2 linked regions of the Drosophila melanogaster genome follow. The protein of the gene in region 2 purifies or fractionates together with the protein of the main gene of each other region. This does not show direct contact. Each region holds a gene or a part of one and is shown on either strand. Other genes may lie near its edges.

Region 1 (3,843 bases), on a different chromosome or scaffold from region 2:
GCTGCAGCTTCAGGCCCGAAATTACAGCCAACTCACCCATGTCGATGGCCAGGGCAAGGCCCAAATGGTGGATGTGGGCGCAAAACCTTCGACCACAAGATTAGCTCGTGCAGAGGCCACCGTTCAGGTGGGTGAGAAACTTACCCAACTTATAGCCGACAATCAAGTGGCCAAGGGAGATGTTCTAACCGTAGCCCAAATTGCTGGCATAATGGGCGCTAAGCGAACCGCCGAACTGATACCCCTGTGTCACAACATCAGCTTGTCCTCCGTGAAAGTGCAGGCCACTCTTCTGAAAACCGAACAATCTGTGCGGCTGGAGGCAACCGTTCGCTGCTCGGGCCAAACTGGAGTCGAGATGGAGGCACTAACTGCAGTTTCAGTGGCCGCTTTAACTGTGTACGACATGTGCAAGGCTGTTTCTCACGATATCTGCATCACAAATGTCCGCCTGCTAAGCAAATCCGGCGGAAAAAGGGACTTCCAGAGGGAGGAGCCGCAAAATGGGATAGTTACAGAAGTCGAATAAGTCGAATACCCGACTAACCGGATTAACCACGATACGGGGAATGGAAAATAAACTACTGCTTACTTGATTTAGCCACAAATATTAAATTAAAAGACTTATGAAGCAAGAATACATAAGTGTAAAAATGTAGATGAAATCACTTCCTTATAGGAAACTAATTTGACTAACATACCAATAAAATGTTTCAGAACAAATGGCATAAAAGGGATAAATAATCATATAGTTTATATAGTTTTTGTTTCCAGTCGGTGGATAGAGGTCCATCCATTTTCAGATCTTGAATGAATCACAAGACACATGACTAATTTCAATCGGAAGTTTAAGGTATCTTTAATTCGTGGCCAGAGTGGGTTAAGTTTAAATGAGGGGAATTGATGGATAGTGTTGGTGTGAAGGTGCGATTGGAGGCGTTTCGCGAACTGCGCCTTACAGCTAGAAGTACATACAACATTAGAAGTGTTCAATAAACGCGGATTATCGCTCGCAAATCCTGGCAGAGTTCCCTCTCAACATAGACACAATAAATACGGTGTGGTGAGGTAATCAATCGCTCTCAGTTGAACACCAGGACATTACGGTTCTCCGCCTTGTCCTCCGCATCGTCGCCCTTGGCTCCTTCGGCAACCAAGTGTTCGCCGCGAATCTTGATATTGTGCTCCTCCTTGAACTTGTTCAGCTCACTGCCCTTTTTGCTCAGGTCATTGGTGACCATTTGGATGGTCTTGGCGATGAAATCCTTGTTCTCCACCAGCTGTGGCAGCACCTCCTTCACGGTCCTTTCGCACAGCACACCACCAATTTGACGAAAGCATTTCCGTTCGGGATCCGCCGCCTCCAGAGTTTCTATCACAGTTCTAGGGAGGATAAGGAGTTATGTCATTGTGTCTGCAGGGATTCTCCCACTTGCCCAAAATCACAAACAGACGTGTCATCCATCTTTGGGCCCCCGGTGACTCACTTGTGTTCCCTCAAATCCATTTCGAGCGTATTTAAACTGTTGACCAAATTGCGCTGCTCATTGCGCAGCTGTTGGAACTGGGCCACAATGGCCTCCTGGCTGAGTGCCGGCTTCGCCGATTCGGTGCTCATTGCAATGTTCGCTATCCAAAAGGACCCCTTCGAAATCTAGACCGGGATAATCGCTTCAAATTGGCGATAATCTGCGATTTTCTTTCAAAATACGAGACCGAACACGAGGACTATGCGATAAACGTCCTAACAAATCCCAAGCGCGTCAAGGCAGTAAGACCGTAAATGTATTGTGGAAAAATGGTGTAACGGTAAAAGAAAATATAGCACAACTTCAGTTACTTAAACATAAGTTAATGTAATAATTTATAAATTAATAGTAATTCTATATAAGAATTTCAATTTTATTCTTACTTATAATCAGATTATAATAACTTCAAGCTTTATATAACTTCAAACCCACCTGCTATCAAAAGTCACGGTCATTTCAATGGTAATTACTGAATAATTTATAAATTTTAAAACTAAGTTGGATACTCTCTTATTTAAGATTTTAAATACAAAATTTTAATATCATAAAGACAATGAAATTCGTCACTAAGTAGACGACATACATATGTTGCTTACGTTTCGCGGTGAATGTCATATTTGAATACACGTGCGAGTTGTTTCTAACGCCGTTTATTTTATTTAATGATTTTTATCTAATATATAGCTTTAGAAAATATAAAATCATGCCGGCAGCAGTGGCCACAGGTGTGCAATTCGGTGGACCGCCCAAAAACAAGAAAATCGTGTTCGACGACTCCGGCGAGGCGGTAGTTAAACAAAACAAAAAGGAGCACCCACAAAGGCCAAAATTTGAAGGGAAGGAACAGGTGAAAAAGCCGCAGAAAATTAAGTTTGGAGAGGATGGAAAAGCGAAAGGTGCTAAGTCCTTTAATAAGAACCACCAAAAGCCGGATTTTGCCAACAAACCACAGAGAATAAAGTTCGGCGATGATGGAGAACAAGTAGCTTCCAAGTCGTTCAACCAAAATCATAAAAATGGACCAAAACCACAGAAAATCAAATTTGGAGAGGATAGAGAAGCAGTGCATCAAAAACCTTTCAACAAAAACAACCATAAACATAATGGTCAAAAGTCGGACTTCGCCAATAAACCTCAGAAAATCAAGTTCACTGATGATGGAGAAGATGAAGTAACTGCGAATTCTTCCAACACAAAGACGGAACCGACCAAGAAGTCCCAAAAAATCAAGTTTGGAGATGACGGAGAGTCCAAGGAGAACTTTAAAAAGCCCCAACGAATCAAGTTTGATGAGGATGGAGCTGGAAAAAATGTATCCGACAGCGATGGAGACAGTGATGAGGAACTGGGGGACTCCATTTCCAAAAAGCACAACAAATATCAGTCAAAAATAGATGAAGACGAGGAGTCCCAAAAGAAGTGGTATCATGTGGTATGTTGAAACTAAACTGAAATCGTGGAAATAAATCATTTATAGTTATCACTATCGTATCTTAGCATCCCGACTATCCGTCCACCGATGAGGTGCTGGACATGAAGGAGAACGATCAGCTGGAGCTGTACAATCTCTGCAAGAATTCCTTCGAAGCGGAGAAGATAACTTTTAATAAACGTAAGACTTTCTCGACTCGGAAATTGGAACCCCTACTAATGTTTTTATCTCATCTTTAGGTAATCCCTCGGATGCTCGCTGGTTGCAAACCGCTCTGCACAAGGGTACTGCAAAGGATCGGGCCAATGCGGGCGCCCTTCTGGTGACGAGCAATCCACTGGGCAATTTGGAAGCATTGAGCACTTTAATTGGCTTCTGCAAGATCTCCAACAAGGCCAGCAATGATGTGATTGCAGTGCTCACGGATTTGTGGCAGGAGGTGCTGCTCCCGCCAAACAGAAAACTCCTGGCGGTGCACACACGTGGTGCTGATTGGAAAAAGCTGAAAAAGGATGAGAATTTGCGCAACGAACAGAAGCGCCGCATTTACGCGTACTGGCATTTTGAGAGCGAATTAAAGGATCAGTACCACGAGTTCTTGAAGAACGTTATGCAGGGCCTGCAGACTGGACAGGAACACAATAAGAACTCCTCTATTGTGTCAGCAGCCAGGCTGTTGGCCTATGCTCCCGAAAAGGAGCAGCTGCTGCTAACCATGCTGGTAAACAAACTGGGCGATCCCATCGCCAAGATTGCCTCCAAGGCGTTGCATCACCTCAGCGAGGTGGCCCAGAAACATCCGAACATGTGCGGTGTTATTGTTGCCGAAGCGGAGAAGCTACTTTTCCGTAACAATATTTCCGAGCGAGCGCAGCACTTTGC
Region 2 (4,945 bases):
ACATGCAAAGTGGATTTTTAAGTTTTGAATAAAAACAAAAAACTTACACTCCAGCTTCATGAAAATCGCGTGTGGGAAACCGTAGCGTTAAGACTACCATAATATATATATATATATATATTAATTAGATTTATTGCATACAAGGCCGTCTGAACCACAATGGTACGTAGGCCCACTTCCTACGCTGAAAATATCATGTCATGTCCTCTTCAAGGGCGAATTACTTTTGTTTATGCAGCATTTGCTCGAAAGTTGAGGTAGGTAGGGCAAATCATTGTCAATAAATAAAAAAGGTCTATAAATAAACTAATGTGAATGAAATTATCAATCATCACAACATAACCATGTCCAAAACAAACACAGCCGGTGAAAAGATTTCTATTGTTTTTAGCTGGGAGAAACCCGATTAAATAAACATAAATTTGTGAATCCAAATAATACAATGAGAAAATGTACAAATACCTCGCTTTTGTCAAAACCTACATTAATGAGCCTATTAACATTTATACCAACACTCTAAACATTAATCAGCTTTCTTGGACTACAAAACGCAGTCTCATAATCCTCGTAAAATGATTGATATCTCTCTTATTAATTATAAGAAACCCCAACAAAAACCATAATTGTTTAGACTTGTGAACAAAATTGGATCCGACTTTATTGATTACGTTGTTAAGAGAACAAATCTTTTACAACTGAATTCATTTGTTCTCGTTTCATTTTTTTTCGCAAAACATTGATCGAGAATTCGATTGATTTCCGATTCGAATTTAGTTCTCGTCGACCTCAGCCTCCTGCTCCTCCTCGAACTCGGCGTCCTCGTCGGCGGTGGCCTCCTGGTACTGCTGGTACTCGGACACCAGATCGTTCATGTTGCTCTCGGCCTCGGTGAACTCCATCTCGTCCATGCCCTCGCCGGTGTACCAATGCAAGAAAGCCTTGCGCCTGAACATAGCGGTGAACTGCTCGGAGATGCGCTTGAACAGCTCCTGGATGGCAGTGGAGTTGCCGATGAAGGTGGCGGACATCTTCAGACCACGGGGCGGGATGTCGCACACGGCGGTCTTCACGTTGTTGGGGATCCATTCGACGAAGTAGGAGCTGTTCTTGTTCTGGATGTTCAGCATCTGCTCGTCGACCTCCTTCATGGACATGCGTCCACGGAAGATGGCGGCGACGGTAAGGTAGCGTCCGTGGCGTGGGTCGCAGGCGGCCATCATGTTCTTGGCATCGAACATCTGCTGGGTCAGCTCGGGCACGGTGAGGGCGCGGTACTGCTGGGATCCTCGGGAGGTCAGGGGAGCGAAGCCGGGCATGAAGAAGTGAAGACGTGGGAAGGGCACCATGTTGACGGCCAGCTTGCGGAGATCAGCGTTCAGTTGGCCGGGGAATCGGAGGCAGGTGGTTACGCCGGACATGGTCAGGGAGACAAGATGGTTCAGGTCACCGTATGTGGGTGTCGTCAGCTTGAGGGTGCGGAAGCAGATATCGTAGAGAGCCTCGTTGTCGATGCAGTAGGTCTCGTCCGTGTTCTCGACCAGCTGGTGCACCGACAGGGTGGCGTTGTAGGGCTCCACAACGGTGTCCGACACCTTGGGCGACGGCACAACCGAGTATGTGTTCATGATCCTGTCGGGGTACTCCTCGCGGATCTTGGAAATCAGCAGGGTTCCCATACCGGAGCCAGTGCCGCCGCCAAGGGAGTGTGTGAGTTGGAAGCCTTGCAGGCAGTCGCAGGATTCGGCCTCCTTGCGGACAACATCGAGCACTGAGTCCACCAGCTCAGCACCCTCTGTGTAATGACCCTTGGCCCAGTTGTTGCCGGCACCCGACTGGCCGAACACAAAGTTGTCGGGCCTGAAGATCTGGCCGAAAGGTCCCGATCGCACAGAGTCCATGGTGCCGGGCTCCAGATCGACAAGGACAGCGCGGGGCACGTACTTGCCACCGGACGCCTCATTGTAGTACACATTGATGCGCTCCAGCTGCAGGTCGCTGTCACCGTGGTAGGCGCCGGTGGCATCGATGCCATGCTCATCGGAGATGATCTCCCAGAACTGCAAATGAGAAATGGAAGTAAAGAATTTGGGATTAGTGCGATTAGGACTTGCAGGTGCTGTACAGCATTTCTTGTGAACATGAGTCAGCAGGAAAATCGATTACTAGGGGGTGTTTTCTAACTCAGTCTTAAGAAAATGTATGAATGACTTGGCCAATGAGTCATCACAGAAAATCAATGGTAGTAAAATTACTCAAAGCCTAGACCATCTGCTGCATACATATATACAGCTAGTATTTATTTGACTGCTTCACATAAATCACAAAAGAAGTTTATGCTTAAGCAACGGTAACTTTTATTTGCACAAGAGTACTGCAGTTGAAGAAAACTTTTACTAATCACTGAAACTCATTTCCAATTCTGCAAGTAATTTGCTTAAAATTTTTCTTCCATACCCAGTGAAAGTTGATGCATGTGAAAGGCAATCTTATTTTCTTGTTTTTCTCTTAACTTATACAGATAACTTCGATACAGAAACCTTCTCGAACAAAATGTGTGATGGGTTATGGAAAGTCAGTCTATATATAACTCTTTATTGATTGGAATAAATGGGCACAAGAAGCAGCCGATGTACATACACATGTCTGGGCTCGGCTACGTGGTTTAGGCCACCCATGTACGCCATCATAAACTCTGTGTATGGGCCGAGCTCCGATTAACATAACTTATTCGCTGCCATTTTTGGTGCGTTTCCACCACCACGACCAGCAGCACCATCGCCACACCAACGATAACGTCATCTGGCGTGGGTTTTCGTTTCGGATCTCGAGGCGCAGCTGTCATTGCGTTCCGCCGACCGATCTTACTCGAATCTTCGGGCGTGGGCTGGAACTGAGCTGTATAACTACTATCTGTCTGTCTGTCTATATGTCTACGTGCTGCCCCCACGCAATGCCGGCGACCTCAGAGCCGGGCTCTGCCACCCCAAAAAGCCCCCCTGCTTCCGATGCGGCTTACATCACCGGTTGTTCGGGTCTCGCGACCCACTCTCGTCTCTGCAAGAGGGAAACGGAGGAGGAGTGGGAGGAGCAGTGGGTACCAGTTGGAGAGAGGCGTTGGCGTTGTCTGTTTGCTGAGAGGTTAAAACTGCAGCTCAGTGCTCCAACTACCGACCATCTGGCGCATAAATCGTCTGTTTTTCAGGGCATTACGTCACCTGAACTTTTTGCGATGGTCGTTGTTTATGTCGCGTAAACAAATAAAAACAATTAACCGAAATAAGTCGCTACACTGGTATTGGAGGAAATGCGTGGTTGACACTCGTTTAGCGAAATGACACCGTCATACCGGATTCTATGTATATAAAGTGTATATATAAATATAGAAATACACATTTGTAAGCCGGTCGGGTCGAAAGCGAGAGAGAGAGATATTGAGAGCCATACTTGGGCACAACAATTCTGATGTTGCAGCTGCTCGGGTTTTAAGGCGTTTCCGAGGGTTGTTTTCGGCTCATGGGCCCATGCCCAGCATGTGGGTATTGATTTTTCGGGCAAGGACTAGAAAGATTCGTCATCATCAACATCACCTTCGTGTCCTGTGCCCCGTTATCCCACACGCATGTGCAGCACCGCCCTTCTCGGTTTCGTTGCTTTTTGTGTGCGAGAGGAAACTGGGATAGAGACAAACAGATGGCAAATTCCTCTATATAAGGTCATCATCTCACCTTGCAGACTCCCAATTCCTACTGCTAAAAGTAAAGTTTCATTTTGGCACATAATGGCCGAAAGAGAACCGAAATCTGTCTATACTATAGTCATGAATAAAAAATAGAAAATTGTTTCATTCCATGATAAGATAGAGAAGCCGCCGAAGTAGCGCAATTTTAAGTAGGGAGCAGAGTGTGGAATGCATGAAAATCAATAGAACAGCTAATGCAGCCTACGAACACATATATCTACATACTTATATCCCATCTACGTATAAGATCAACTCTTATACGTTCTGCGAACCGTTCAACGACGACCGGTTCAGCCATTTTAGGTTAAAATGACGTCATGTTTTCTCTTTAGAAGACGCATAGCGGCAAAAAAAAAAAAATTAAATGAAAAAACCGGCCGACGCTCACACATACAAATGAGCAGCAAGCTCTTATGTGCGTGTAGAAAAGCTATCGTGTTTTGACGATAGAAAAGTACCCTTCACCATCTGGGCAGTGAAATGGCTTTCACAACCGGTGAAAAACTATGAAAGTCTTTCGCCCAAGAGAAAATGACTCATGCATGCAACACGCACACAGGCATACACACAGCCACCAGCGTCGGTGTAATTGCAGACACACCCAACTATAATTACTTACATATGTACATACATATGGGCACGAAGTACATATGCGAATGTCAATGGCCCTAAAGCATTATATCGATCGGAAATTCGGGCGTAACAAACTTTCGTTCTAAATTTTGGACCCCAAATGCCAGAGTAGAACAACAATTTTCAAGCATCTTTGCGAAATCGGACAAATATGCGGTATATACAAACACAGATGCCGGGACTCAAAAAGACCACTCGACACACACACGCACACAACTTGGTATACATAAATGCAAATGTGTGAGTGTGAAAATGCCGGCCTCAATACAAATTTTTGCCACATGGACAGCGAAGTCGTGCAAAAATGACGCCATTTTGGCAACTGTACTCTGGATGGAAAATGAATGGAAAATGCAAATGGGAAAACTTACCTTGGCGCCGATTTGGTTGCCGCACTGACCAGCTTGGATGTGAACGATTTCCCTCATTTTGTATTTGTTTTAGGCTTTTGAACTTTTAACTTAAAATTATCTTTCGCTTATAGCAGTCGAACACAACACAAACTGTCCGCTTCACACACTTGGAAAAATTAGTGCATTCGCTTTGGAGAGCGCGGGCTTTTATACGATGGCC

Evidence for each region.
Region 1: the proteins of betaTub56D (region 2) and Pfdn2 purify together in Drosophila melanogaster (affinity purification with western blotting, with the first as the bait; one study listed by BioGRID). This does not show direct contact.

The regions. Positions count from the first base shown.
Region 1 is NT_037436.4:11,072,629-11,076,471, forward strand, and holds Pfdn2 (prefoldin 2), read right to left. Parts: upstream 1,761-3,843; 5' UTR 1,619-1,760; coding exon 1,488-1,618; intron 1,384-1,487; coding exon 1,083-1,383; 3' UTR 664-1,082; downstream 1-663. Other genes in the region: Mocs1 (molybdenum cofactor synthesis 1), read left to right, coding at 1-529; Noc1 (nucleolar complex protein 1), read left to right, coding at 2,233-2,961, 3,027-3,141, 3,201-3,843. UniProt on the Drosophila melanogaster protein: Binds specifically to cytosolic chaperonin (c-CPN) and transfers target proteins to it. Binds to nascent polypeptide chain and promotes folding in an environment in which there are many competing pathways for nonnative proteins.
Region 2 is NT_033778.4:19,446,690-19,451,634, forward strand, and holds betaTub56D (beta-Tubulin at 56D), read right to left. Parts: upstream 2,911-4,945; 5' UTR 2,722-2,910; coding exon 2,638-2,721; intron 2,058-2,637; coding exon 771-2,057; 3' UTR 630-770; downstream 1-629. UniProt on the Drosophila melanogaster protein: Tubulin is the major constituent of microtubules, a cylinder consisting of laterally associated linear protofilaments composed of alpha- and beta-tubulin heterodimers.